Coturnix japonica: one gene and its partners. The protein of the gene in region 4 interacts with the protein of the main gene of each other region in a pairwise test. Links are inferred from orthologs where the notes say so. Each region holds a gene or a part of one and is shown on either strand. Other genes may lie near its edges.

Region 1 (6,878 bases), on a different chromosome or scaffold from region 4:
CATCTGTTCTTCATTTCCACAAATTGCTGTTGTTTTACTCTTGCCCTCTTTGCTGTTTTTCAATATCTTTTTAGACAATTTTCTGTTGAGCTGGATTTTTAACCAATAGCGTACAAAGATGTAAAGAACAGAAAGCGGTGTTAGTACAGATAGATGGAAACAACCTTACTTTAGAAATCAATTCACAAACTGCATAGCAGGAAAGAAAAGGAGATTGTGTGTAGGCACTGCCTGACAAATGAGAGCCCAGATTTTTTATACATTTGTTCCATTCTAAAGACCAAGGATCATCTTGGACCATAAAATTAACTTCTATAAAAATACAAGCAAAAGCGTAAGATTGAAAACACGAAGCACCAATTTGTGGTTCCTACAGAAGTGGTGTTTGTGTTAGTATTGAGGAGGCCTAAGGGCTGCATCTGAACTGCGGAGCTACTAAAACAATACTGGCAGTACTGTAAGTTAATGTTCCCAATGCGTGAGTGCTGTGCTGTAGAACTCAACTTCCTTTGACGAAGGAAAGGGCATCTGGAGAGATTGGCACAGCTGTCCCCATCTTGGCTTGGTGTTTCATATTTGAGAGCTTTAAGACACTGAGTACAGTTCCTGGTGCTGAATGGATGGATGCTGGAGCACAGGAAAACTTAATAACGTGAGGATTTCCAAACAGGTTTCAGAGAAGTAGAGTTTGTCATTTCCAGGTGGTGTGTATTTTGTTATTTAATATATAAAGCTCAGGTAGTCCTCAGTGGAGCAGTGTCTTCATACTTGGTTGCTTTCCTCAGTAAAACAAGCCTGTCGCACCTCTCTCCCATATCTGGAAGGAGTAGCTTTGTTCTGCTGCTATAAGGGTTCTCTCCCTTGCAGCGTTTTCCCATTTCAGTCTTAGAATATTGTTGTAAAGGTTGGGTTTGTGAATGTCGTCTACCTTCTCTAATACTCACCATAGTAGAGTAGTAGCACTTGATCTTAATCTGCCTTGAAGTCCATCAGTGCTATTGATGTCTTAAGCATGTGTGAGTTTCAGAAATGTGACATAAGTGTGGGCTGCAGTCAGTCTACTAAAGAACATTGGAAGGGCTGTCTGTAGCCTTTGGGTCAGCTGCCCTCCTGTGTGACTGAACAAGTGGAAATTTCTCCCCTTAAGAAGGTTGAATGCTAATATTTGAATATAAAACTAAGACAAAAATAGCTACCAATAAAGCACGCTTTGAAGTGCTGGAATTGATTGAGGACTTGCTAGTTGTTCTCATAGTCTTCATCATCATCTTTGTTACAGCTTTTTATTAGTCCATTAGTCTCCTGCTAGAGATCCCATCTTACCATGTGCTGTGCAGGACCTTGTTGTATAGGGTTGTTGCTGGGTGTTCTGTCAGCAGTCAGCAACGTAGCTTTAAACAGTGCAAAAGGATAGAAAGCTTAACTTTCTTTGGATATAGAAGATGTGACAGTGAGAATTAATAGCACAGCATGGGAGATCTTGGATTTACCTCTAAACTTTGGTTAAAATGTATACGTATGTTGATCTTTTGGTTTAGATGGCTAGGTGTTTAAATATCCAGTTCTTCAGATGGGGTGTGTGTGCAGACCAAGTCTGGACTAGTTCATAAACGTTATTTTTTTCAAATGTACACTTTTATTCCCAGATCACTTAAAACAAGCAAGCAACCAAAAAGCTAAAAATAATGAGAACTTATTTATTAAATGATAATTTTAATATATTTTGTTATTTTCATTTGACATTTTCTACAGTGGACATTCAACTTCAATGAATTCTACAATGTAAATATATAAGCACACCATGCCAAAAATAGCTAAGGGTCTTTTAAAAGCTGTAGTTAACAGACTTGGGTAAGATGTTACGTTCTGAACTTGGTCTAACCTAGAAAGTTCATTACATCTTTGTTGCTTTGTATTTTAACACGACTTTGCTATGATTGCAGTGTCTTTTAGCAACTACTCAGATATTGTATATTGTAGTGTAAGATTTGTCTTCTCTTTCCCACTTCCTTTTGCTTCTGCATTCTTTTCAATGAGGCTCCCGACTGAATATGAGAGGAACGGGAGATTTGAGGGCTCAAGGTGAGGGTAAAATTTTTGTTTGAAATGTTATTTAGGTGAGTTTGAACCTTTCTTCCCTTGATTATGTGGCACAGTGGCTTCAGGCAGCAGCTTTTGTTTTGTTTAAGGCTGTGAAACTAAACAAAGAAGCGTTTCTGTCTGCAGATCAGCTACTAAAGCACTGACTGGCTTGTTTCTAAACTTCCATCTTTCCTGTTGCCTTCTCCCTCGTGTGTTTTTTTGCATCTTAGTATTTATGATTTGCTGTTGTCTCGTAGATCTGTAGGTAAGTGGTGTCCAGTGAGACTGCACATGTGTGGGATAACCACTGAAGGATGTTAAGTTGTGCTTTTGTCTCCAAAATCACAAATGTTTTCCATATTAAACTCTTCCTCAAATCCTTGTGTTAAAAGTACTAGAAACCATCGGCTTTGTGTTCATTCTGCCAACCATTTTCAAGTAGAAAAGGCTTTCTAAAGTCGGCACTGAATAAAAGTTGATGTTACTCCCCCTATCCTTTTTGCCAGCTCCTGCAGCTTCATTAAATTAAAACCTTACAGTTACAACATACATCAGCAATCAAAGAGTATGTAGCATCTGAGAAATCATGCAGCTGGATTTGACAGCATAATCCTTTTATTCTTGCAGTTACTGGGAGTCATTATAATAGAATATAAAATTACGAGACAGGTTATCTTTGCAATAGGTTTTTTGTGACCTTGCCATTGCTTTTTATGTAACTTTTTCATAATTGCCTGCTTAATGGTGGGAGAAGGAAGAAAGCGTTGTGTAAGCAGAAATTCACTGCCAAATATCTCAGAGAAGAGCTTAATTTAATTGTAAACTGAACTTTGAAGTTCAACGCGAGACCTAAACTGTGTGGTTTAGGGTTAGCAAGGTTATGTGTTTTCAGAAAATATTAAAGCATCGTGGCCAGTATATTAAAGTCTCTTGCCCTGGGGACAAGTTTGAAGATAGGACTGACAGCACGCAGTCTTTCCAAAAGAAAACCTGCCCCATTTTTTTCTTAAAGGTTTAAATGTAGCTCCTTATGCTTTAGCTCTGTGACTGCTGATTTTATGGAAGTAGAGGCATCATTATGAACTAGAAATTTCTGGATCGTTTTTTACTGTCCTGTATAACCTTATTTCTCCTTACCAAGTGAAAAGCTTTAAAGAAACAAAAAGAAAACCTTGCAGATTTGGGAAATGGAAAGTACTAAGGCATATTTTTTGCTGTCTTTTAGAACTGTGGCAGTAATAGGAACCCTCTTGCCCTGGTTGCTTTACTAACCATGTCAGTACTTCCAGCTCTCCTTCCTGCATTTTGGTCTCCAGGACATGAATAGATTCTAGCTGCAAAGGACTTCACCACATTACTTGATTGGTATTAACCAAATTACTGACCAGCTTAAAGTCAGAATATTTCCTCCCTGTTGAAGGTATCCCCAGTATCCTACAATACAGTGGTTCTTTTGTGCACGTCTCATAGAGTGAAACCTGTCCAGCCCAGAACTGGGTGGCAGGTGGCCCAAGAGTAGGGCTTGGAGCAACACTTAAAACTGAATCCTAGCTGATGTGTGTGGTTTTTCCTCAGTGAGGTGACTTCCCTCACGCTCCCAACTCCAGTGACCTCCAGTTGTTTCTCCCATCAAGCCTCACCTTTGTTTCAGCCCCGAACGCTGACGCTTTATCTTTACTGTGTGTCTGTACGGCAGTGAGGGAGATGGGGTGCTGCCAGGGCCCATAGACATTGCTCTTGTAGTGTGTGTTGCCCGTGAGTTTGCTTTGCTAACACCTGTCCCATGGAAGTATCTCACCCTTCTGACTGATGAATTGCTCTCTTCCAGCCGCAATGTAGCCGTGGATCAGAAGGATGAGAACAAGGAAGCCAAGCCTCGCTCACTGCGTTTCACATGGAGCATGAAAACCACCAGCTCCATGGATCCCAATGACATGATGAGGGAGATCCGGAAGGTCCTGGATGCCAATAATTGTGACTATGAACAAAGAGAGCGTTTCTTGCTTTTCTGTGTCCATGGAGATGGGCACGCGGAAAACCTCGTGCAGTGGGAAATGGAGGTGTGTGACCTGCCAAGACTGTCCCTGAACGGAGTTCGCTTTAAGCGGATATCGGGAACATCCATAGCTTTTAAAAACATTGCTTCCAAAATTGCCAATGAGTTAAAGCTGTAACAAGAAACAATAGTTAAGTTGTAAATTAGTTAGCAATTTCAAGTGTTTTGAGAATTCCGATGGAAATGTATAGAATAACATTTAGGCAATAACTTCTGCATCCTTCTGAATAGTGATATTAAAGAAAACAAAGCTGCTGAGCTGGGAGGGAGAGTTGGACTTTTTTATAAGTGCACTACAGCATTAAAGTTGCCTACTATGTAAAATATTACCCCTTCTGCTTTATTTCCATTGCTCCTAAGTCTTTGACAACAAATTGAAACACAGAATATATTCATTTAAATATGCCTCCTGTTTGTGTGGACGTGTGAATGTACAGTATGTGTGTATAATATATAAAGTATTATATGTAAACAATTCATTTACCACATGGAGCTGTACCAGTACCTCTTTTTGGGCTAATTTTGGTGCTAAAAATTGAAATGGCCAAGGAGGAAACACTTGAGTTCAATATTTAAAATAACTGAAGAGATAACCAGTAAACGCAGGTTTACAATTCACTGCTGTGTTAAGGAACAAAAGGGTGTGAAGGGTTTGGATTTACGGTTGTGAACATTATTAGTCCTGTTTTCTAAGTAGAGCTCATGAAATTATTAAAAATTCACTTTTACCCAGTAAGTCTTGCATTATGTTTTGCCCACCTATTTATTATTTAAGTCCGAATCAGATTTTAATAATGTAGTTGATTTGTGCATTAAAATTTGAGTAAATGCTTCCATTCTTCTGCTGAGCTACTAAAACTGTATCTTTATCCCTCTGGCTTACGAGTTTTGATTGCAGCTCTGAGTACTTTTCTGTTGCTCCACAGTCCCCCTGCAGAGCAGTGCTGTGTGCTGAGTGCTGACCTGTGGCTTCTTAGAGTTCTCCCCCTTGCACTAGGCCAGCCTGATCACAGCACAACAGGACTCTCAAACAGCAGCCACGTTCTGATGCACATCACCATACATGAGCCTGTGCTGCTCCAAAGTATTGCTGCGGGCACAGCAGTGCTTTCCTTTGTTTTCTGAAACCCAAAAGTGGGAGTCAGATTTGGCTGCTGATGTCCCCTGTTGTAACATCCAGCTTGCTTAACTACAGCCATGGGCAGTGGCAGCTAAACCTTTCCTTGCAGCTCTCTTGCAGCATGCTCCCGCTTGGCTCTGGGCACCTTGCTGCTGGCTTCATGCCGGCTGTGTCTCTAGATCCTGCTGAGGAAGGAGTCCGCTGTTCTCTTATGTGTGGAACCTGCCCTGACGGACACTGATGGCTGCTAGTTTCTGTAGGACACCGAGCTGCTGTCGGATGGTCCCTGCTTCTTAAAGCACTGCTGTGCTGAGCTGGATTTGGGCTGGCAGAGCGGAACCAGGAGCTTCCTACAAGCGTTGTTTCCTGCTGAATACTCAGTTCATTTCACAGAGGACTTCTGTAGATAAAACGCTGCGTTATCTACTTGACTTTTTGTGTGAATGTTTGATGGTTATATTTCAGTGGAGCACTTCAGCATGTACTTCACGCGTGCTTTAGACTGGAGCCTCAATTGGCATTGAAATCTGCAGTGAGCTAATGGCTGTTCATAGTGCGCAGTTCGGGTCTGACACCAGGTGAGAACCCGTGGTGTTGTGCAAGTTAGTCCTTGTGACCCGCGGTCTGTGAAGGCAGCAGACATCCCCTCCATTCCTTCCCCTGAGCATCGATATTGACTCTGCTAGTTTTAAAGGACGATCGTAGTTGTTCAATGTAGTGAATATTCCTGGATTTGCATTTTATTCTCTGTATATTCTGTGTCATGCCATGGCTTTGGGACTCTCGGGGTTCAGTTGGCTTTCAGTGCTCTGCCCGTGCTGCTCAGTATGGTTTTACCCTCAAGAAGTCCACTCTGTAATAGCAATAAAACCTTTCAGGGCAGTCATTGCACCTTCTCAGGTGAGCAGTCACCTTCTCCTTTCACTTCCCACACTTCCAGCACTCCTCCAAATGTGTTCTTTTTTCTCTCCACCTGGCAGTGCACTTCATTGTCTGAACTGAAACGCTGTTCTGATAAAATGATGTAAATCTGTATTCGATGGAAGTTCCAAAAGGTTTCATATTAAATGTTTTCTGAAAGACTCTGTTCCTACTTCACCTCTTAAGTACCTCATTCTTTCTAAAGAGCGCACCCTTTGGATATTTAACGCTTGTATTTAAGTACTGAGGTGTTTGCAGAGGGTTCTGTCTGAGTTTGTCTGTCTTCAAGGTATTTGGAGAAGAAAAGAATGATGATCATTAACAGATTTTCAGCAGCTTCCTTCCTGAATGCCCTGTGAAATGACCAAGCTGCAAGAACATACCCTCATCTCCTTCCCACCCCGCATGCCTCCAGTGCAGGGCTCCAAAGGAAACTGCTTCCTTCAGATCCGCAACCAGACACCAACCTCTGCCTTTCTTTCTTGCTCTGCCTTGAGGTCCGTTGGTGCTGCTCCTGATCCAGCTTCACAGAGCTATGGCTGTGTTCTCTGCATTGCAATCAACCAGAGGTGATGGTGAGCATCTCAGCATCCTCAGCTGTACTCTGTCATGTGGCTGGAGTCCTGGGACGTGTGGTCTGAGTGCAGTGGTGGAGGGTGTTTGTCACAGGCTCGTGACTGAAGTTGTGCAGTGCTAAAA
Region 2 (7,778 bases), on a different chromosome or scaffold from region 4:
ACAGTACAATACCTCATTCACTTTGGCAACCCTGCCTATGGCAGAGGGGTCGAGACTGTATTATCTTTAAGGTCCTTTCCAAACTAAGGCATTTTATGATTCAGTAGCTTACCGATTCATTATAAAACATATTGAGTCCAGGAGGGGTCGAGGACAGCAAACCCAAAAGCAAACAGTCATCAAACCTCAGTGTGACCTCCAGGCTGTACCCACAGGGTCCCCAAAGTGCAACATTACCTCCTGGACTCCATCACAGCAATGCTTAGTCAAACCCTATGGGCCTGCTTGACCAATGACGCCCCATGGCATCCCTTCCTCAGCCCCCTGACAGGAGCTGACACATCACCTTCACCCTCAACCTCCAGCTCCTCCCAGCAACCTTCTGGCTTCCTTTAGTGGGGAAATACTGGCCGTAGGTGGATGGCTGGACTGGATGATCTTGGAGGTCTTCTCCAACCTTGGTGATTCCATGATTTTAAATGGCCGCCATGGAGCACTCTTAGGGTTAAAAACCACAACCAAAACCTCACCCTGACCAGCAATCAGGCAGATTTTTATCAAACTTCTCTGAGATAAAATCCAGCAGAAACAACAACAACAAAAAAAAACATTTAGGAAAAGAATGAAGCTAATTAAGATGCATCCAGTAATGAATGCCACGCAAAAAGATTCAAGTTCTACAGATGCAGGCCAAGCTGTAATTCCTTGCAAACGGAGAACCACAAAAGCATTCCAGGAGATTTTAGGCTGTTCTAATTGCTCCTCTTTTCAACATCGTTTTACAGCTTCTGTGTGCTTTCCTACTTCTCTGTCCCCACTTATCTTACCTATTTTCACCCCTCTGAATTTTCTAAGTCTTTATCCTTTAAGACAGTCAGAAACGCACGTCTATTTGTTCCCTCCCCTTCTCCCAGCTTAAACTGCCCAGAGTCTTCCCAGGGAAGGAGCACTGCCCAAAATCTGCTTGCTATTCAGGCAGTCCTGGCAATGACAAGAAGCACTTCATGAATCATCTGTTATATACTGCCTTATCAACACGGCCCGCTGCACGAGAAAGTAAACCTGGCCCACTTCAGTTTCCCGCATAACATCATCAAAATGTGAGTGGCATTAATCACTAAAGCAGTTTTAAGACCCCTCGGCCAAGGTCTGGAATGCAGCAGGTAGGAGACTGCTGTTTCTCAACTTATACAATGTAAGGCAAAAATCATATTTTCAGCTTTGATTTTATTATTGTTTTTATTCTTGTTGCTTGCAAGTCTGAAATCAGCAAGCTGAGGAGAACCAGGTTCCTTTCATCGCTGCAGAGCATTGGTGTGCTTAGGCCTCGAGTACCTGTAAATGGAAAACACGGGTTATCTATAAGGGAAGCTGATGCAAAACTGAAGAGCAAATTTGAATGAAGTGACAAGATGCATCCTGACAGCTTCTCTGACCAACAACACACGTTGAACAAAATAAGCTCCAGGTACTCCAGCAGGGATCTGATAGAATATAAATCCAGTGGCTGGTCTTGCAGACTGGGTAGCAGGAGGGTGCAAAAAGTGATGGGACACCTAGAAACAAGCTACAGATAAGCCAGGAGACCAACAGAGCAGGAGGCATCACCAAGGAGGCCAGCAGGAAAAGTCAAGAACACTTGGCATCACAAATACATGATGAAGATCATTATCACGATCCAAAGAATACTTCCAGTTAATATTTCTTTATGGTCTTTATGCTTGGTAGTTTGGAATGGGCTCACAGCGAATACCATTCAGCAAATAAAATGTTCTGGTAACATGACCATGTTCACCAACCATCAACTCAAGATGAGTGAGAAGAGTCCTAAGGGTTTGAAGAGTTGTGTTATATACATGGTATTACACCTATGCACACAACAGTACTTCCAATGAATACTAACACACGTAGCACCAAGGAGCACAACACAGACATTTTGTTACCTGGAAAAGGACAGGAGGCCAGAGGAGTGCTTTCACCCCACGATTAAGTGGGCCCAGCTGGGTTCTGAGCATTCAGGTTGTCAGACCCTGCTCAGCACACGCTTGGCCACTTGACCCAGACAGCACATGCTGCACTTAAGCAAACTCAAGGACTCATTTACCGTCATATTACAAAGGCATGGCATACAAAAAGCGTTCCAGGAATGCAGCCCAAAGGTGCTGAAAAACAATGCCAGTGGTCTTCCAGTGTGGCATGCCCAGCGTTCAGCCAAGCAAGAACACAAGCACCTCTCGTGTTGTCAGCCCTCAGTCCCTGAGGTCAGGCTGTGCAGCAGGTTCTAAAGGACATCCAGCATGCAAACTGCTTTCAGCATAAGTTACTTGGTAAGTGCATGGTGAGCTCTTAGCTGTTCTCAGCTCTGGAAACAGAAAGATGACCTGGAGTACCTGACTGTCATATACTACATAGGCAATGGAAACATTCTTCCTCAGCACTTTGTCTTATCTGGTTTGGGGTATGTTCATGCAATAGAAAGGCTGTAGCTGCCTCAGAACTGGAAACCCACAAATGATCAGAGGGAAAGCTTCAGCCATTGCACCAAGCTTCTGATCCCAGAGGCATCTTCCGATGGCTTTAAAGAAGTCTGCTTCAGGGAGCAGCAAGCCACTTCAAAGAGATTAGGAGGGCAACGTAATCTAAACCCACGGGCTCCTGCTCAACTTTACCTTTCATTTTCACTAAGCCCAGCTCCCTGCCCTTGCAGGTCACTGCATGGTTTAATGCTGCAGGCTGGAATCAGCTCCACCTCTCCAGGAACCCATAACCAAGCAGCTCCCTCTTTTTGCTTAATTCTTCCTTCCGTTTCATTCTTTTTTGCTTGTAAGCCAACATAAAGTGATAAATGAGACTCGCTCCCACCAACCACATCACATACTTGGGGCATGGAACCCACTGCCCCCCGACCCTGGCCATACAGCTCAGACCTGCCTACACATCACATAACCAAGGTTGGAAAAGACTCCCTGAGATATCCAGTCCAGCCATCCACCTGCCACCGATATTGCCTGCTAAACCACAGCTCTATGTAAGCAGAGACGGCAAAGAAAACCACAGTGCTGAATGGTTTTGCAGGTCACGGTGCTGCACGGACACACACATCTGAAGGGGCAGCTCCTGTGCAAAGGATGAAAGCTGCCACCCCGTCCTTCCAACCCATTCTGTACAAGCCATTCAAAACACATATCCGGCTGTTCTAAAGCATCCTTGTCACAAAACCAAACCCTGAAGCAAAAACCCAAAGAAATTCAAGAACGGGAAAGATGAATTTTAAAGACTTGAGATTATCAGAATCATTTTCCCCCCCTTCAGTTGAGCCAACCGAGAGCACAGCTTAACGTCAGCGACAACACCTGGCAGGTGCACGTGCCATTCAGAGCAGCAGACACATCCTGGAAAGCACGTTTCACTTGGTACAGAAAAACCTGCAGTGCTAAAAAACTTCCTCTTTCTAACTGGGTGGCATTTTACATCTCCAAATGGAACTGAGTGAGCACATCACCATGGTGACGGGAGGATTCGGCAATAACTTTGGTGCCTTGTAATTGCGGTATATTTGTATACAAGCAGCTGAGCTTTCTTAATTCAATGCCCTCTTAACTCTTTCTGAGAGGCTGAGGAGTGACAAAGGCAGCCTTTGGGCTGGGAACTCCACGCGGCAGCACTGGAAACATCAGAGCAGGCAGAACTCAATGCGGGAGGGGCTGGGGGGGGGGGGGGGAGGAAAAGGAGAAAAAAAGCAGCCTTGCCAAGAAGCAGATTATTATATAAACTTCAGAGCTCCTTAGAAACGTCGCTGTTATCAAAGCATAATTAACTTCAGGTAGCTTTTTGGCAGGGAACACGGCCCCAGCTGGAGGCAGCCCGTGACAGCAGCACATCGCGGCACCGTTAGCGAGCATGGAGCTGAGGACAAGCACAGGGCACCCATCCGACCCAGCACACACAAACCTTCCCCTTCGCTTCAAGGCAGCGTTTTAGGGGAGGCTGGGAGCAACGAGCCGAGTTGGTGCCAACGAGCAAGCGACAAAACCTTCCCGTATCATGCCCCAAAACAATTACGCAAGTGCTTTGAATCAAAGGCCGGTTCAGCTCCCAAATACAGCCCTACCATCATGGCAACTAAGCGCTCCGCAAACACATTCCCCTGCTCAGAGGCCACGCCGCTCGGAGATGATAGCGCCGAGCATCGCTCTGACAAATTCCTGCAGCAAAAGCCCGCAGCACCTCCCTTACGCAGAGCCACGCGCGTTGCAAGCCATCTTTTTTCCCCCTTTTTTTTGTGGTTTGTTTCAAGTTAAGACCCCAACATCGCAGCACAAACCTCATCCCTCGAGCTAAAACACAGCATTTTCGGGGACTTCCACCAAACCCGGGGGCGGTGGGACCGTGCGGGGCCGAGGAGGCGCCAGTCGGTCCCAGTCGGCCCCGCACGGCCCCACCGCCCCCGTCCCACGCCGCCCCCGTCCCCGCCGCTCACCGCTGCCCGCATCGCTCCGCGCCGAGCCCCGCGCGGCTCCGAGGCGGCGCCGCTGCTGCCGGGGGTGGGAGGAGCCACGCGCGGCCGCGAGTGGGCGTGGCCAACGCCGTAGCCCCGCCCCCTTTTGCCTCATTCACAAAAAAACGCCAGCGCCGCCGCCCGGCTGCGGGAGGAGGGGCGAGCGGAAGCCACGCCCCCACCGGGCTCCGCGTCCAATCGCGTCGCACAGCGGCTCAAATCCACCACGAGGGACAACGCGATTGGTGCGCGGAGCTGCCCGTCACCTCCCTCCTGCGGAACCCTCCGCACCGCGCGGCCGGAGCCCGGAGGAAAACAACCGCGCGCCCCGTCGAAGCCTTAGGGAACCACGGGGAGGGCCGGGCCGGGATTAAAAGCCGGCGGGCAGAATCTCGCCCAGCCCTTGTGCCCCGGGGCTACCCGGCCACGCGAGAGGCTCGGCGTACTGACCTGCTTACCGGTGGGAGGAGCGTGGAGCCGTGAGGCGAGAGCTCGGCGGCGGACACGGGCGGCGCGCGCGCCACCAACGGACTCAGCCCGTGACGGGATCCGCCATCTTGGAATTTTTAGATGGAGAGTCACGTGGTGCGACCATTTTTCCCACCGGCCAATCAGGAAGCGCGGGTTATTTATAGCCTCGGCTCCCTCTTTGCACTCCGCCTCATCCCGGCTGGGCGCGCGGCGGGGGAAGGGAACCAATCAGGCCCCGCCTCGGCTCTTAGCCCCGCCCACCCGCGGCCGTTGGGCGCCGTCCGTTGGGTTCCTCAGGAGTCCCGTCACACAGCGGAGCTGCTCTATCGCTGTGTGTTACCCCGGGCAGGTATTAATTACCCTGGGCTGCTATTAAATGTGGAGGTTGGTGGCCTTGCACGTAGCGCAGGGTTGGAGCTTCGTGATCCTTGAGCCCCCTTCCAAACCAACCATTCTACAATCTACAATCGTGATTCTTCTATGCTTGAGCCTACAGCCTATAGTGTGTGTCTAAGGATATACTGCCACTTCTGCATAAAGCTGAAGCCCTTTTTTGTCTCGTTTTTACCATCTACTGGCTTGTGGGCTTGTTTGTTTGTTGTTTTTTTGGTCAGTGAGGTTTTAGGTTTCCTCCTATGGTCGTTCTGCTATCTTTATTCTGGGCCGGTTTGTGTGCTCACGTGTATGTATGCCTGCATGTATAAATAAGCTGCTAAATTATTTTAAAGTGTCCAGAGACGTGTGGGGATAAGTGCTTTAGGTCTAGAGGTTCACAAGTGCAGACTGTGCAGCCAACAAGGCAATACTGATCTATGCCACAAGCTGCCCAGTGCATGGAATGAGCGGTGGCCATAGCAGGACCCATGTATGGACAGCTGGGTGGCTGCCTGCCCTCTCCTGAGGCTTCCTATTTCTTGGGCTGCTGCAAGGTGCTTTGCACACCAACATACTTACAGGCATTGCTTTGCTTAAGTGGTCCCTGAAGCAAATCAGTGCTCCCCATATGTGCCCTGGATGCTCTCCTGCAGCTCCAAGCTGGCTGGGTCTATCACCTCCAATGCCTTCTACATGGCTGAAGGTATTTTAGAAAGATGAAAGAAGAGAAAGAAAATTGCACCCTTCAAGTTGCCATGGAGTGTAAGTTTTATCTTCCAAATTTGATTGATGCGGTACTTGTGGCCGTGGGTGTGAATATGTGTGTGTCTATTAATATCCAGTCTAGGCTAACCTGTGCATAATGACAGAAAATTAAACCCTGCCATTGTTCCTATAAACTAGAATTCAGACGTGAGCAAGAAAAAACGTTCTTCCTATATGTGAAAGCTGACTGTATGTAGTATAGTCTGTTTTTACTGTAATTGCAGCTGAGAAGTTTACTTAAAAGCTATTTGAATTAAAGGAATTGGCAGAGCTAATTCATAAAGACTGAAATAAAATGCAATTACTGAGCTTCCCGCCCACCTCCACCTCGTCTCTATCTGAATTCCACTTGTTTGTCAAAAAGGGTCCATTTTTTGATGTCCTTAAGCAGGTAACATCCATCACGACGCTCCAGCTCGTTTCCGTACCCAGTCACAGCAATCTGGAGAAAGCAAAAGAGGAGCTCTCAGCTTTCCATCCTAATGCTGCCCCTTCCACCACCTCCTCGTCAGGGAAAAGAGCATCGAGTTAGGGAGAAAGCCAGCAGGAGCTTCCTCTAGAGCCTTGCCACTGAAGAGCAACACCTACTCCAAGTGCCAGTGCTGCAGTCAAGCCCAGACGCAAGTGTCCATGTGTGGATTGCTTTCCCTCCTCCCTCCTGATCAGTCAGTTGCCATCATCGCTCTCCCCTGATATTTCTCTCCCTCCAGTCACCCTTCTTTGCCTTATCTCCCACTCCCATCTGCTCTGTATCCTCCCTGCATTGTACACATTTCATCCTTTCTACCATCAGGAAAAAAAACGCGACAAGGAAAAGTCATGGTGCTGCTGCTGGGGAAGAAAAGACTGGGTAAGGAAGACGTAGGATTCGAAAACATACAGAAAAAGCTTTGCAACAATGAAGAGAGCGTTGGATATTTATAGCAGTCATCCTCAGCTTGATACTCTTTGAAAACGTTTCCTTGCCAAATTTTGCTGAATTGTATAAGTTCCGTATTTGTTTAGCAGTAACATTGATCCTCTGAGAGGAGAGAAGGAACATGGTGCAGCCACTACAAACTGCTGCCCCTAAGATCTTACCGTAGGACATCATCCCTCCTGGGCGGACTGATGAGCTGCGAGGATAGAGCAGATCTCTTTGCCTTCAGCTGTCAATGTTAGCAGCACACTGAGGCTTCAATTGAGAGATACACAAGAAACGAGTCTGTACTTTAACATGAGATCTGCGTGGAGTTGAGGGCAGGATAATTGCTGGATCATTTAGCTTACCAGTGACTATTATTTTCCTGATTCTTTATCTACATGTTATTGAATGCCTTGATTTTTCATCCTTGGCAGCTGCTGAGAGAAAAAGATATAGCGATGTGTGTGCATGTGTGTGTGCACGTGTGTGTTTCTCTACAGGGGAGCCTTAGAGGAAATATTGATTCATTTTCCTGTCTCTTTCAACCAGAAAAAGAAGAATCCTGAATGATACAGGATAAGAAGAACCCCAAACAATTAAAGTAGAAATAACTGTGAGGAACAAAAAGCGAACAAAAAAAGCAAGCTGACAAAAAGCAACAAGTCACTTTTTCAATGAAAATGTATATGCAGTCAGGCCCCTGGCTGCTGGTTTTATAAGTGAAGATATTGACTTGCAGCTGAATGACAAGTAGAATACTTCTCT
Region 3 (7,611 bases), on a different chromosome or scaffold from region 4:
TGGAGGTTAGCACAGGCACCACCGAGACCCCCACGTACACACCTTCTGCAGGTGGGGAGTGAAGGCAGAGCTCTCAGCACAACACTAGCGTATCTAGATTACTTTCTGGTCAACCCACGACCCCCTCTACTACCAGCAGCAGCTGGAAGAACGAGCAGGCAGCAAGCCCGGGGCATCAAGCTTACTTGTTAATAAACTGTTCTAGTCCCTGTCTCCTCTCCTCGATGAAGGACTCCTCAAAGATGCCTTCGTCTCCTCGGAACGGAAGCTGTCGTTTCAAAGCTTTTCCAGGCAGTGGTGGCACTACAATCTGAAAGCAAAGGATCACTCCTGTCAGCAGAACTGCCACCTGAGAGAGGGCACCCGTCATCATTTGACACCCACCACGTGGCCAGAAATCGAGCCCCAGGGGCTGCCCACCACAGCCTCTCCTCTGCTCCAAACCATCGCTGCTGCTGCTCTCATACAGCCCACTTGCAGGAATAGGCACATCTGAGCCAGACCTCACCTTACTGTCTCGTTCCAGCTCATTCTTCAGCCATTCAAAGTCACTGTATCGTCTCCTCACACACGACTCCTTCAATTTGAAGATGGGGAGGTTTGTCTGTAATCAAGAGAAGCAGTTAATTAGCAGGGCCCTTAGGAAGCCAGACAGTGTTTCTACATGCCATTGAAAGCCAAAGCTGCGTTCAGAAAACCAGGGCCCCCCAAGAGGGACATATCACAGGAACGCCCAGCTTTGCTATTCTGGACAGAACATAAGCACATAACAACCTGCGGCAGCTCCCCTTCCTTCTCCCTCCCTTCCTCCAAGAGTCTGACAGCTCCTCAAACTTCACCTTTGCACTATCAATACATTCTGAATCATCGTGGGAGCTGAGGCAGCACAACCTCCTGACACGCAGCACCCAGACACGCACAGGTACTGCTGCAACACAGCTAACTGTATACAGACCAGGCTCTGAGCAACTTCACCGAGCCGTAGGTTTTCCAGCCCATTGCAGAGCAGTTGGAGTAGATGACCCTTAAGGGTCCCTTCCAACGATTCCATGATATCCTGATCAGGCCTGCAGAACAAAACTGCTTTCAAAGCATCCCTGCAGGAACTAGTTCCAGTGAGACAAAGATCCGCTCGCTGCTCGCAGCCCAGCCCGGCTGCTTTTAAAGGAGGCTCCAGCTGCACACGCTCTCCATAACCACCACACCCCCGTCCGTCGGCCATGTTTACCCCAAGGCCCGGCTGTGCCGTTGGCAGCTCGCAGGGCCCTGCTATAGGGCCGTGCTGTAGAGCACTGCTATAGGGCACTGCTATAGGGCCGTGCTGGAGAGCACTGCTATAGGGCACTGCTATAGGGCCGTGCTGTAGAGCACTGCTATAGGGCACTGCTATAGGGCCGTGCTGGAGAGCACTGCTATAGGGCACTGCTATAGGGCCGTGTTGTAGAGCACTGCTATAGGTCACTGCTATAGGGCCGTGCTGTAGGGCACTGTTATAGGGCCCTGCTGTAGAGCACTGCTATAGGGCCCTGCTGTAGAGCACTGTTATAGGGCCCTGCTATAGAGCACTGTTATAGGGCCCTGCTGTACAGCACTGCTATAGGGCCGTGCTGTAGGGCCCTGCTATAGGGTACTGCTACAGAGCACTGCTATAGGGCCCTGCTATAGAGCACTGCTATAGGGCCCTGTTATAGGGCCCTGTTATAGGGCCCTGCTGTAGGGCGCAGCGCCTTCGTGGTGCCGTCCCCCCGTCCCGGTCCCGTCAGGCCGCTCCGATCCGTTCCAGGCCACCCCCCGCCCGCCCCGTCCCCCTCGAGGGCCGCACCCTCATGCGGAGCTCGTAGCTGGTGTATCTGGCTCGGCCCATGCCCACGGTCTGCGGGTTGAAGATGTCGATCTCCAGGAAGTTGCTGGGCGGCCCGTACGCGTCCGTCAGGTCCTGCGGCTTGGCGTTCAGGCGCCGTGTGTCCGCCACCGCCGCCTCCGACATGGTACCGCCGCCGCTGCCCCGCCCGGCTCGGCCCGGCCGCTGCCGCAGCCCGCGTCGCCCCGCCCGCGCATAGAGCCCCGCCGCCCGCCCGCCGCCTGCATAACGCGCGGCTTATCCAGAGTGCCGGGCGGCCGAGGCCACCCCGCTCGTGCATGCTGCGCCGCCGCTCGCAGGGCGCCTGCATAATGCGAGCGAGTATTCATAGCGCGGGGCACGGGCGATCGCCGCCCCGGAACGTGTATGCTCGCAGGAGCCCCGGAACCTGATTAACGCAACGATCGCGCTGCGGCCCGTGGCGCTTCGCGCGCCGCTCCGGTCCGGACATCGCGGTGCGGCCTGCAGCGGGGCGCTGTGCGGGCGGAACGGCCCCGTCCGAGACACCTTGAGGGGGCACGAGAAGGTGACGGCCCGGTTATGTAAGCGCAGCCGCCGCGGTGCCCGCCGGGAGCTGTAGGAGCTGTAGGAGCTGTAGGAGCTGTAGGAGCTGTAGGAGCTGTAGGCCGGGTGCCGCCCCGCCCGCCACGCTCGCTCGTGGGGGCGCAGCTCCCCGCCCTGCGGCGCGGTGCTCGCCGGGAATCGTAGTCCGCCGCTGGGCCTCGGCCGCGCGCTTTCTCCTCGCCGGGACTACATCTCCCAGCACGCTCGTGGCGCGCAGGCGCAGCTCGGTGCGCTGCTCGCTGGTAAACAGAGCGGCGCGGCGGTGTCGGTTCGCGACTGACAAAGGGCGGCGGGTCGGGCCCGTCCCGTCACATCCCGTCACGTCCCATGTGGCGGCACCGGGAGGTTCAGGCCCGGCGGGGCGCGGGGCGGCGGCGCTGAGCGGGGCCGATGGCGGAGGCGGGCGGAGCGGCGGCCACAGCGCCGGACATCGACCCGGACTTCGAGCCGCAGAGCCGGCCGCGCTCCTGTACGTGGCCTTTACCGCGGCCCGAGCTGCCCGCGGGCGCGGCCGAAGCGGGAGGAACGGGCGGAACGGGCGCGGCGGCGGAGGAGGGAGCGGGCGGAGCGGCGGCGGCGGCGGCGGCGGCCGGGCCCGGGCGGGCAGAGGGGGCTCGGGCCGGAGGCGGCGGCGGAGCGGCGGCGGCGGCGGCGCGGAAGGGCGGCTCCCGACGGAACGCGTGGGGCAACCTGTCGTACGCGGACCTCATCACCCAGGCCATCGAGAGCTCCCCCGAGAAGCGGCTCACCCTGTCGCAGATCTACGACTGGATGGTGCGGTGCGTGCCCTACTTCAAGGACAAGGGCGACAGCAACAGCTCGGCCGGATGGAAGGTGCGCGGGGCTGCGGGGTTGGCGCGGGCCGGGCCTGCTCGGCGCTCTCCGCGCGGTGCCGTTCTCAGCCGCGCTCACCTGTTGCTCCATGTGCCGCTATCGCGGCCTGGAGCCGTGCGGGCCCGGGGGGCCGCCCCGATAATACGGCGCCGTGTCCGGGACAGTAGAGCAGCAGCCCGCGGCTGTGCCGTGTGTTCGCTCCTCGTGTCCTCAGAGCTGCGCTGGAAGGAGCGAAGCTGCTGGAGAGGCCGTTGCGGAGCTGCCCGGGCGTCAGCTGAAGGGCCTTTTAACTCGAGGCCGCGGTGCGCGGGGCTCCGTGTAAATAACAGTTTCATAGCAGGCATTCTTGGCGTTAAGGGCCTCCTTTAAACGTGTGCGCTGTCCGAGAGTCGCTGTGCAGGGACTGAGGACCTCTGCTGGAGTTTGGTAAAGGGAGAGCGTGTCTCAAAGCTCCAGACCTCTTCCCATCTGCTCTGCACATCTGCAGGTGCTGCGTTCTGCTAAAGACCCGGCTCCGTTTCCATCCTGTGCAGGTGGCAGCTGCAGGGTGTGTGCTGTTCAGTCAGGTGGACTCCAGCAAAGAGAAGGGGCAGTGTGAGAGCTGGGCTGTGAAATAGCCGTGTGGGCCACACTCATATATATTTCACAGCAAGTGCCTGCAGGAGTGGGGTCTGAAGGGCAGCACCACAGTGATGCTGTGCTCCTGTTTGCAGGCTGTGCTGCAGTGTGAGCCGGTGGGTGTGGGGCTTCCATGACTCCAGCTCTGCATTCCTCTCCTGGGTGACTGAGCACCCGATCAGCACAGAGCCTTAGTGTTGCTTCTGTCGATGTGCTGGTGGGTCTGCCTGCAGCTGGCCCAGCTCTGAAGGGGCTCAACGAGCAGTTGTGGGAGTCCTGTTGGCTGCAGAGAGGGCAGGAGTGGTGGGAGAGGTGCAGCTGTCTCAGCCCAGGTTGGCATGGGTTGACACAGAACTCCTGCCACATTTCTCAAGCTTTCTGACAGCTCTCACAAAGTGTGTGTAATTCAGTAGCATCCGTCCATATTTCTTTGTGTTAGTCTCTCCTTTGTGCAGGTTAAACCATCATTAAGCTTCAGTTGGAGGCAGGACCCAGCTGTTCCTTTCAGTAGGTCTGGGGGCTCGTGGCAGAGAGCTCCCCCACCTTGGGCTGTGCACGCTGTGCTGCTCCCACTGTTGCACAGGCTCGTGTTCTTCTGGCAAACAGTTCCTGGAATGGTGTCTGTTCTCTTTAGGAATGTGTCTGCATCTGTTTGGCAACAGAACCTGAGCCTGGAGTTGTGTCTTATTAAATGTATCCCGAGATGTTACAGGGAAGCTGAAGCGTGGTGCCCAGCTGGGTGTTGCAGTAGGTGGGTGTGGAGCTTGGTAAAGCATGGCTGTCCTCTTAGATGAGTGTGCAAAGGGATTGTCAGCCTTGGGTTTACTCTTGAGTTTCCATTGCGTATCATGCTTAGGAACTGGAGTCGGATTTAACATTCAGAAAGATGGAAATGGGGATCTGTGCGCAGGGGAAAGCAATCCGTGCTCTGCTGCTGTTCTGCAACGACTTTTCCCTCGTGATGAAGTTCCTTTGTAGCCCTGCAGCCTGAGGGCTGCTTCATCCCATCCACGCTGACACACAGATGCTTGGGGTGCTCCACACATCTCAAGTTAAGGACTCTTCTGGGTGCAGCTTTTTAGATGTTGGACCGAATGAGTTTGAAGAACGGAACCGAAGGTGGAGCTGCTGCCCAGTGCTGCTGGGATGCTTGAATGCCTTCAGCCCCCCGAGCTGTGATGTTCCTGTTGTACTGGCAGGGATGCACTGATAACGTATTGCATTGTACAGTTCTAATAGAGAACACATCTGGAGCATTATACACATCTGCTCCAGCTAATATAAAGCCTGTAAACTCGTTGCTTCAGAAGGGCTTTGCAGCTGCTTTACCCCGGCACACAATGGAGGGAAATACAGCTGTTACGGTCTGTGAGGGTGTGACCTCTGAATTCCGGAAAGCTCAGTCCTCCAGGAAGGTTCTGTTTGCTGCTCTTGAGCTGTGCTGAGCGCTGTGTGAGCGGGCAGACCTGCCGGGTGTGCAGCCCGTCTGCTCCCTAATGTAATTCAGCTGGAGTTAGGAATTAACCGGGCTGGGGGGAGAAGTGTTGGTGCAGGAGTGTGCCTGCAGCCACTGTAATCCCCTTGTGGGCTCTGCAAGCTGCTCCAGGATAAGAGGATCATTGCTTCCGGCTTTCTGCCTGTGGGATGGGGGCTGTGGGGGCTTTGGGCAGAGCTGTGCCTTGCTCAGCAGGAGGGCACAAAGCTCTCTGCAGCAGTCCCTGTGTGTTACACACTGTCCCTCTTGTTGCACTTTGTGTGTCCATGAGTATAAGCAGGTTCAGCACGGTGATGGGCTCACAGAGAACATGGTCCCATCCAGTGCAGGGCCATGTTCCAAAGCCAGGCTTGTCATGTTCTCCCAAACCCACTGTCTTCTCTTCTGTAGGAACAGAAGGAACTTGAAACTGGCCTCTTCCAAATCGCTTCAATGTAGGGAAAATCAGCCTTTTCCTATGTGTGCAGTGGAAAGGAAAGAACAAATGGTTCTGCAGCTTAGCACTGGTTGCAGGAGGCTGAAGTGCTGCTCCGTGGTCTGGCACTTTGTGTTTGCTTTGATTCAGATGTATGTGTGTGCGTGGTGCAACAATTCCAGTGGCTGCACTGCAGATTACAATGAGGAGGGACTTCCCTGGCTGCTACTGCTGTGACAGCAGCTCTGAAAGTCCCCCATAGAAGAGCAGCAGCCAGAAAGCAAAAGTAGCCCCGGCTGGGAGGTTCTGCAGGTTATCCTCACGCCTTGCAAATGAGTTCCAATTCAGTTCCAATTAAGCACATGCTTGTTTGGCTGGAGGTGAGCTGTTCGTCATTCATTGGCTCCCTGGCTGCTGCCCGGCCAGTTTCACTTTTTCTATAGGCTGATGTATAGAAAGCAGTGGTATAGAATCACTGATGGTTTATGGAGCCCTTCAGAGTATTTCCCTGTTGTTGCCTGCTGAGGCATAACTTGCGTGCCCAAAAGCCGTAAAGCAAAAGGCAATGTGAAACTGAAGTTCAGCATCTTAGCTCTGAGCAAGGTGCTGTTCTGCACGAGCTTCAGTCCAATGCACATCCGTACATGGGGTGGGCTCAGCCTGAAGCCTGGCTGCCCACGGCTGCTGGCTGTGCAGGGAGGGAGGCTGAGATGGAGTTACTCTGCCACAGGCGTTCTGGCACTGCGAATGAAGAGGTGTGCGTTCCACGTCGCTTTGATTGCTGATGTTGTTGCTGTCATCATTGACACCTAACAAAATCTAACAGCAATTGGACAGCAGTAACCCGCAGAGGTACGACAGGGCCATGCTGCCTTATATTTGTAGGGGTTCTTGTGGTTGAATCTTGTTTTTCCTTTGCAGGGTGCAGTTCTGCTCTGAGGAGGGGAGAGCTCTCCCTTTGGCAGCATCCCCTCTGCCCCATGCAGTGCACTCCAACCCCTGGGAGCTTTTGTTGCTCCCTGTCCATTTGTTGATGAAGATGAATATTGCAGCACAGCTTCATCTGTCAGGCAGCCCTGAAAGGCAGCAGCTCCTGCGATGCTGGCATGGCTTGTTCCAACAAGTTCCTCCTGCTCTTATCTAACCCCGAGTAGCTTTTGCTGCGTCTGCCTCCCTGTCACGTTCAACATTTAAACTGTCACAGTTTCTCTCTTTTAGAGAGCTGGGATTTCCTTCTTCTGAGCTCAGACTGAAAGATTACAGAGAGGGGAAAACGTCCCTCCTATGAAGCAGCTTTCAGTCTGTGAGGCTGAGGTTTGCACCCATGCTGGTGGGCGGCTGCAGGGACACTGCTCAGCTCCGGAGCAGTTGTTTACTTGCTGGAGCACAGCTTTGCAAAATCTCTGCCATGAAGCCTTTTTCCTGAAGCCTTGGGAGCCAAGTGGCGGGCTGAGTGCTGAGACAGGCACTGACAAATGTAGGAGGCGGAGCGTCCTCCTTCATGCAGCCTCTGAAGAATGCCGTGGCAAATTATAATTCAGTGCAATTACAGGCCTGGCTTTGGAACGTGGCCCTGTGCTGGATGTGACCGTGTTCTTTGTGTGCCCGCAAGGCAGTGAGAACGCAGTGCAGGGAGCTGCAGGGATTGCACATCTCGTTGTTCTTTTTGTTCTGTCCACGATTCTTCAGAGGGACTTTTTTGCTAAGGTTCCCTCTGGGCTTTGTGGTAGGAACTTTTGAGACTGCCTCGGACAATGGCTGCAGTGCTCTGGAGTGCTGCTGGAGCATCCCTGAAAACCCAGGCAAATGTGGGCACTGGGATGG
Region 4 (6,916 bases):
TAAAACCCAGCGCTGCAAAGCCTGGGGCTAAAAACCCTCAGGTGGGAACGTCACAGCAGGGCTGTGTTTGTAACGCTGTGTTCCTCTACCTGGGAACTGTGCAAGTCCTTCTGCAGCTGGAAGTGGGGTTGGGAGCCAACCTGAAGCTGAAACTCCATCCTCATGCTTTGCTGGTGAGGGTTTCCAGCCCAATCTCAGCCCCAGATCTGATGCAGGAGGGGCAGATGATGTGCTTATAAAAAACAAGCTGATTTATGGCTGTTTTTTCACAGCTCTAAGAGATTCGGTGGCTTAAAAGGGTGCTGTTGGGTCAAGCTGGAGTTACCCACGAGCTGCCAAAGCTTTTATAGCTGCTCGGCTTTAGTTCTATCCCTGCAACACCTGCAGCCCCAGCCCTGCGGTGGGGAAGATGGAAAATCAAGGAGCTCTGAGCCCCGAGGGGAGCTGCCACGTCCCACAAACCGGGTCCTTCTCTTGCACGTCCCCACGCCGGGAGGGGACGGCTCCTGGGGGCTGAGGAGGTGACACCCTGGCTCCCGTCGCTCCCGTTGAGCAAGTGTTAGGCATGGGGCCAGGATTCGTCACCAAGGTGCAGGCCTGGCCCTGGGGTCCTGGCTCCCAGCCCCAGCTCTGTGCTTTGTAGGGTCAGGGATGGGGAATGGTTGGGGATGGGGAATGGTCGAGGCTTTGCTCATCGCCCTGTGTGGGGATGTGCAGCTCCATCCCCCTGCCCCACAGCACAGCCCATCCCTAGAAGGGGCTCCAGAGCTCAGGACAGGCTCCTTTCAAAGCAGTGGGCTCAGAGCGGGCTGATCCCAGCAGGAGTGTGGGGCTGGGACCAACACTGAGTGGTTTCAGAGCCCCCCAGGCTGTGGTGGGCATCATCCCTGCACTGTGCTGTTCTCTGTGTGGACAGACACACAGAAGGGCAGCACCCAACTTGGACACCCCAAAAGCTGCCCTGCTGTGGCCACCAGCCCTTGGGATGGGGCTCAACCACTGTCATCCAGCTTGGGGACGAGGGACAAGCCTGGCTGTGTGTCCTGCTGCCCGCCTGTCCTGCTTGGGGTGTGCAAGCAGCGCCAATGGAGCAGCAGAGATCTATTCCAGTAGCCATAAAGCCATGGCCACTAGTCGCTGGGTGTGGGGCTGTGCTGGGACCTGATTCCAGTGCCCACCTTCTGTCCCCAGCCCAATGGGGCTCTGAGTTGGGGATACCCCCTGGTCATGGGCACCTGAGTCCCGTTGTTTTGCTACTGTTGGAAAACCCTAAAATCCACCTGCACAGCCCTGCTCTGTTCCTACTGTGGGCAGACAAGGATGGGGAGCCCTTGTGGGGATGGGGGGGTCCCTCCCAGCTCCAAAAAGCCTCCGGGCTGTCTGTGAGGTTGTGGAGCAGCACAGCCCCAATCACTGCAATTTGGGGCATGGTTAGAATTGCACACCACCCACCGTCCCCTCCCCGTGTCCCCAACCCCGGGGGTCAGGCCCAGCAGGTGCCTGCGGCTCATCCTGCACGTCTGCCAACCCTATGCTGCCCATAGGGCATGGGAGCAGCTACCAGGAGGGGTGGGTGCATTCAGGGCAGGATGGAGGCCAACCGTGGGAGCCCCTTATTTCCCCCTCAGAGGGAACTGATGGCACTGAGGGACCCCAACCCCATCCTCATACTCAGCCTCATGTATTTCCTCAGCTCTGGGTTGGGGGCTCCCAGTGCTGCCCTGCAGGCTCTAAGCCGGCTCTGCCACGGGATGTGGGGCTGGGAGAGCAGGTTCTGCTCCGCTCATCCTCCCACAGCCAGAGCATTCCCACGGCCCCATCCTCCCCACCGCAGGGTCGTGCCTCAGTTTCCCCATACCCAACACTGGACCGTGCCAAAGCACAGCTCAGCACTATGTCCCCAATGTCCCCAAGTGAAGACCCCGTTGAACCGGCACACCCTGAGTCACTCGGCTTCCTCCTGCCACCCCATTTCCCATCAAAGCCGGGTCCTGCCCAGCACGGCCCAGCCCTGCTGCTCTCCATCTGATGAGCTCACGGCCCAGGCTGCCAGGACTGGATTTCAGTGTAATTAACTGTTCGTGTTGAAACTCGCGCTCCCAGAGCTGCACCCTTCGCTGTGGCTGAGAGCCAGGGCCAGAAGTGCTGAGCTTTCTCCAGCGCCGGCACATCCACACCTCCATGGGGATGTCCTCACCTCGGTGGGATGCTGTCACCTCCCCTGTGACAGCTCCGTGTCAGTGCTGGAGGGGAAGAGCTGAAACATCCCCCTGTCTGCACGGAGCCCCAGTAATGGGGTTTGGGACACTGTGGGTTGCGTGGTTTGGGTGGGGACACCATGGGGATGGAGATATCATGGAGGTGGGGACATCAAGATGGGGATGGGGACATTGTAGGGATGGGGACATCATAGGGATGGGAAGACCATAAGGGTGGAAACATAATGAGGATAGGGACACTATGAGGATGGGGACACTATGGAATGGGGACACCATGGGGATGGAAACCCTACGGGGATGGAAATACTATGGGGGTGGGGACACCATAGGAACATCTTGGGGATGAGGACAGTACAAGAATGGGAAAACCAAAGGGATGGAGACACCATGGGAATGGGGACATACAATTGCAGGGCTGGAGACCTGGGACATACTCTCCCTATGGAAAACCCACCTAGAAAGCCCATTCTGAGACCCGTCCCTGAGGTCTGGGGCTGGCTGAGTACCCCCACACCCCATGGCGGGGCTGGGAGGGGCTGCAGGCAGCCAGACCTGCACTTTGGAGGCCCCGAGTGCTCCCCAGCATGGCGTGGCACGCAATGGGACCGGCTGTGGGAGCTGCAGGAGCTGCCTGGGCTTGTGCACGACAGGAGAGATGAGGCGACCACAGAGGCAGACGTGCACGAGATGGTTTATTGGAGCCACACAGAGGCTTCGGCAATTCGCAATCCTCCATCCGGGTGGGGGGCACATCAACCCCCCCCCTCCCCTTTCTCCCCATCCCGTCCCATCACCTCCTCCCATTGCCCCCAAGGGACCAGCGGCACGGCTCTAGCCCCCCAAGACAGAGGGCTAGGGCCCCCCCTAAGCTACGCTGGGGTATCCCCCAAACAAAGTGTTAAAGGGGTGAGGGGAGCATGACAAGAACATGGGGGGGGGGAGAAGGAAAGGGGAGGCCCTGCCAAAGGGCAAACATATGGACCCCACTCCCAGAACTGGAGGGGGGGTAAGGGTGGGGGGGCGAAATACCTTCCCCACTCCTTAAAAAAGGAACAAAACAAAAGGAAAAGACACCGAAGGGCTTCGGGAAGGGGAAGGGGAAAGGGGGGGGAGTCTGGGAGGGAGGGGAGGAGGAAGGAGGTGGGGGATGGACCCCAGCTGCATTGGGGGCCGTTCAGTTCTTGGGCTCTTCGCCAGCCTCGCCGCCGTCTTCACCCGCGCACTCGGCTGTCCATAGCGTCAGGTTGTCCCTGAGCAGCTGCATGATGAGGGTGCTGTCCTTGTAGGAGTCTTCGCTGAGCGTGTGCAGGTCCCCCATGGCCTCGTCGAAGGTGGTCTTGGCCAGCGAGATGGCCTGCTCGGGGGCGTTGGCGATCTCGTAGTGGAAGACGGAGAAGTTGAGGGCCAGCCCCAGGCGGATGGGGTTCGTGGGCTGCATCTCCTTTTTGCTGATGTCCATGGCCTCTTGGTACGCCTTCTGGGCGCTGTCGATCGTCTCCTTGCGGTCGTTGCCGGAGGCCACCTCAGCCAGGTATCGGTAATAGTCTCCCTTCATCTTCAGGTAGAACACTTTGCTCTCTGCATCTCCGGCCTTCTTGATGAGGTGCTTCTCCAGCAAGCCCAGCACCACGTTGCAGACGCCCTTCAGCTCCTCTTCCACCTTCTCCCTGTATTCATTCACCAGCTGCGCTTTGTCGTCTCCCTCCTCGGTTTTGTGCTCGATGCTGGAGATGACCCTCCACGCCGAGCGCTGGCAGCCCACCACGTTCTTATAGGCGACGGAGAGGAGGTTGCGCTCCTCGTTGGACAGCTCGTCTCCATGCTCCACCACCGCCTTCATGAAGTCCGCCATGTCCTCATAGCGCTCAGCCTGCTCGGCCAGCTTGGCTTTCTGCACTTGGTGGTTTCTTGCCATGGCTGAGGGCGGATGAGGAGCAGGATGAGACGAGGAGTGGGGCCGGGAGCCGTCGGAGCCTCTGCTGAGCTTCACCGCCCCGATTCGCTTTTGGCTGAGCGTCGGAGCCCCGAGCAAGAGCAGGAGGAGCCAACGAGGCTGAAGGAGCGGCCTCCTCCTCCTCTGCTTCCTCCCCGCAGAGCCCGCCCTTAAAAAGCAAATTGCCGTGAGTCATCATGCCCCGAGGCACAGGGTGATGGGGAAGGGGTGAGCGGGTGGCACCCACCCTGCCCTGGATCAGGTGGGTGCCGGGAGGGAGAGGATGTGTTCAGGGAGTTCATGGTGAGCCCCCCCTGTGTCAATGGGATGTCCCACTGGATCAATGGAGAAGTCTGGATCAATGGGACATCCTATGTCAGTGGGAGACTCTGAAACAATGGAGGAGGGAAGATCAACTGGGGACCCCGGATCAATGGGAAACCCCAAATGAATGGGAGACCTAGAATCAGTGGGGACTCCAGATCAGTGGGGGAGCCTGAACCAGTGGGAGAGCCTGGATCAATGGGATACCCAGACCCACGGGAGACCTGGAATCAGTGGGATCCCGAAATCAATGGGAAACCCCAAATACTTGGAAGACTTGGGATCAGTCAATGGGATCCCCAGATCAATGGGGGACCCTGAGTTAATGGGGGAAACCGGATCAATGGGGGACCCCAAATAAATGGGAGACCAGGAATCAATGGAGATCCCAGATCAATGGGGGACCATGGACCAATGGGGGAACCCTTCCCCATCTGCCAGGAGTGCTCAGAACAGGGAGCAGTGGGGTCGTCACATTGGGGTGAAGCAGGAAAGCGGCAGCACCCAGTGCCCCCATCCCAACCACCCTTAGAGAAACAGCACGGGGAATAAACCTGGCTGTAAAAATGGTCTCCTCCCCAAAAATCCCATCGCTGTCATTTTTATATGATGATTAACTTGTCGGTGATTGCAAGGGCTTGAAGGGCTGGTATTTATTCCCACTGGTGGGGAAATCGAGGCAGGAGGAGCAGCACGTTACCCCAGCACTGCTGCAGGGATCAGGGCCAGGATTGGGATTGGGGCATTCCCAACTCCTCCACCCTGCCTGCTCAGGGGGAATTGCCCTGGCACTTGCAAGTACTCAACCCCAACCCCCCCATTGAACCATCATTGGACATCCCCAAACCCAAGGCAGCTCCACACCCACAAACCCCACTGGATCCCCATTAAGGCTTCTCCACCACCCATCCCCATGTCCCCCACCCTCTCCGCTCATCCCACCGGGGCTCTTTTCTCTCCCTTTACGCTGTACTGGAAGAATTGGGATTATTATTCCTTCTTTTTTGTCAGTCTCATTTTGATTCGAGTTCTGCCCAGCAGCGCTGGCGGCCCCGATTAGGATCTGAGCTCGGCGTTGCGCTGCAGTTTCGCTCTCAGCCTGTTCCCACACGCCGGCACAGGGCAGGGTGCGGCGGGCAGCACGTGGGGATGGAGCCAAGGGCTTCACCAGCGCTGTGCCAGCACCCTCAGCCCCATCCCTGACATCCTCTCCCCATTGGGGTTGCTCAGGGCTGGCAGCTCTTGGTCCCAAGCTTATGCGGTCCCAGTCCCCATCCAGCCACATGGTGGGGGCTGTTGAGTTTGGGGCTCAAAGTGGACCCCCCGTGAGCACTGCTCGACCTCATGGATGCACAGGGGCTGTGGTTTTGAACAGAATGCACTTCTGCCCCCTACCCCATAGGAGAGACCACAAATGGGGCTGTGTATGGGGGCAGGTCCCCCCCAGGGCACAGCATGGAGCTCGTGGGTTTGGGTGCTGCCAGAAGCACCGAGCTGCTGCCAAATGTTGGTGGCAAAGAGCTGAGCAGGAGCTGCAGAAATATTCTGCTCTACTGGTTTTGGTGTGAGTTAAGGGGGGGTGAAGGAAGAGCCCCAGCTCTGTGCCCTGCTGGGGAGGGGTCAATGGCCACCCACCACCCTCAGAGCACCCATGAACTCACACAGCTGCAGTGAGGGATGTGGGATGGAGCCCAGCACCACACGGACAGACAGGAAATGGGAAAATCTTTATTTTGTTACAAAAGTAAAAGGCAGAATCCTACCAGGCTCAAAGCCCTTTGCACAGGGGGAAGGGGCCCATCCCCTCCATCAGAGCCCCATAGCGATGGACCGGGGGGTGGGAAGCTCATGGGGAGGGTGAGCGTTGACCGTGCACCATCCTATGGGGTCGAGTGGGATGCAGTGGGCAACACGCTGCTGGCTTAATCCCAAACCCCCCCAGGTAGGGCTGGATGCTGGGAGCCCTGGCTCAGTACGTGGCTCTTCCCCATGGTGGGGGGGAGGAAGGAGGAACGCAGTATTGCACTCGGGAGGGAAGCTGTATGGCTTTTTGGCCCCTGCTGTGGGTGGGGGGCTCAGAAAGGCTTTGGCTTGCACACGGCTGCTCTCCCCCCTCTCTCACAGCAGGAAGGGGGAAGGCACAGCGCTGCGGAGCAGAGGCACGGGCGGTGCTGATGGCTGTCATCGTTGGGGGGTTCGTGGGGTCCTGGCTTCCCTGGGGTGCTCCAAGAGGGGCAGAGGGGCTGCCGACCTGCGGAGCTCCGTGCTGCCCTAAGCACACTGCACAGCCCCAGGAGAAGGGAAGGAGGAGAAAGAACTCACCTCGATGACAGACATATCGAAAGACAAATGTCACATTACACACAGGGAAACTGAGGCACAAAGGGATGGAGGTGAGGGATGGAATCACAACACGTTCCCAGCTCAGTCAGCCAACATC

Evidence for each region.
Region 1: the proteins of SFN (region 4) and MARK3 interact in binary tests that used the Homo sapiens proteins (3 or more experiments, as listed by UniProt). The link is inferred for Coturnix japonica from reciprocal best matches to the Homo sapiens genes SFN and MARK3.
Region 2: the proteins of SFN (region 4) and HDAC4 interact in binary tests that used the Homo sapiens proteins (3 or more experiments, as listed by UniProt). The link is inferred for Coturnix japonica from reciprocal best matches to the Homo sapiens genes SFN and HDAC4.
Region 3: the proteins of SFN (region 4) and FOXO4 interact in binary tests that used the Homo sapiens proteins (3 or more experiments, as listed by UniProt). The link is inferred for Coturnix japonica from reciprocal best matches to the Homo sapiens genes SFN and FOXO4.

The regions. Positions count from the first base shown.
Region 1 is NC_029520.1:45,750,716-45,757,593, forward strand, and holds the end of MARK3 (MAP/microtubule affinity-regulating kinase 3), read left to right. Parts: intron 1-2,037; coding exon 2,038-2,082; intron 2,083-3,910; coding exon 3,911-4,256; 3' UTR 4,257-5,007; downstream 5,008-6,878. UniProt on the Homo sapiens protein: Serine/threonine-protein kinase. Involved in the specific phosphorylation of microtubule-associated proteins for MAP2 and MAP4. Phosphorylates the microtubule-associated protein MAPT/TAU. Phosphorylates CDC25C on 'Ser-216'.
Region 2 is NC_029522.1:2,885,918-2,893,695, reverse strand, and holds the start of HDAC4 (histone deacetylase 4), read right to left. Parts: upstream 5,067-7,778; 5' UTR 4,957-5,066; exon of another isoform or gene 4,949-4,956; intron 4,575-4,948; exon of another isoform or gene 4,481-4,574; intron 1-4,480. UniProt on the Homo sapiens protein: Responsible for the deacetylation of lysine residues on the N-terminal part of the core histones (H2A, H2B, H3 and H4).
Region 3 is NC_029519.1:2,350,701-2,358,311, reverse strand, and holds the start of FOXO4 (forkhead box protein O4), read left to right. Parts: upstream 1-2,428; 5' UTR 2,429-2,815; coding exon 2,816-3,259; intron 3,260-7,611. Other genes in the region: SNX12 (sorting nexin-12), read right to left, coding at 186-310, 509-604, 1,823-1,987. UniProt on the Homo sapiens protein: Transcription factor involved in the regulation of the insulin signaling pathway. Binds to insulin-response elements (IREs) and can activate transcription of IGFBP1.
Region 4 is NC_029538.1:1,603,973-1,610,888, reverse strand, and holds SFN (14-3-3 protein sigma), read right to left. Parts: upstream 4,288-6,916; 5' UTR 4,135-4,287; coding exon 3,394-4,134; 3' UTR 2,895-3,393; downstream 1-2,894. UniProt on the Homo sapiens protein: Adapter protein implicated in the regulation of a large spectrum of both general and specialized signaling pathways. Binds to a large number of partners, usually by recognition of a phosphoserine or phosphothreonine motif.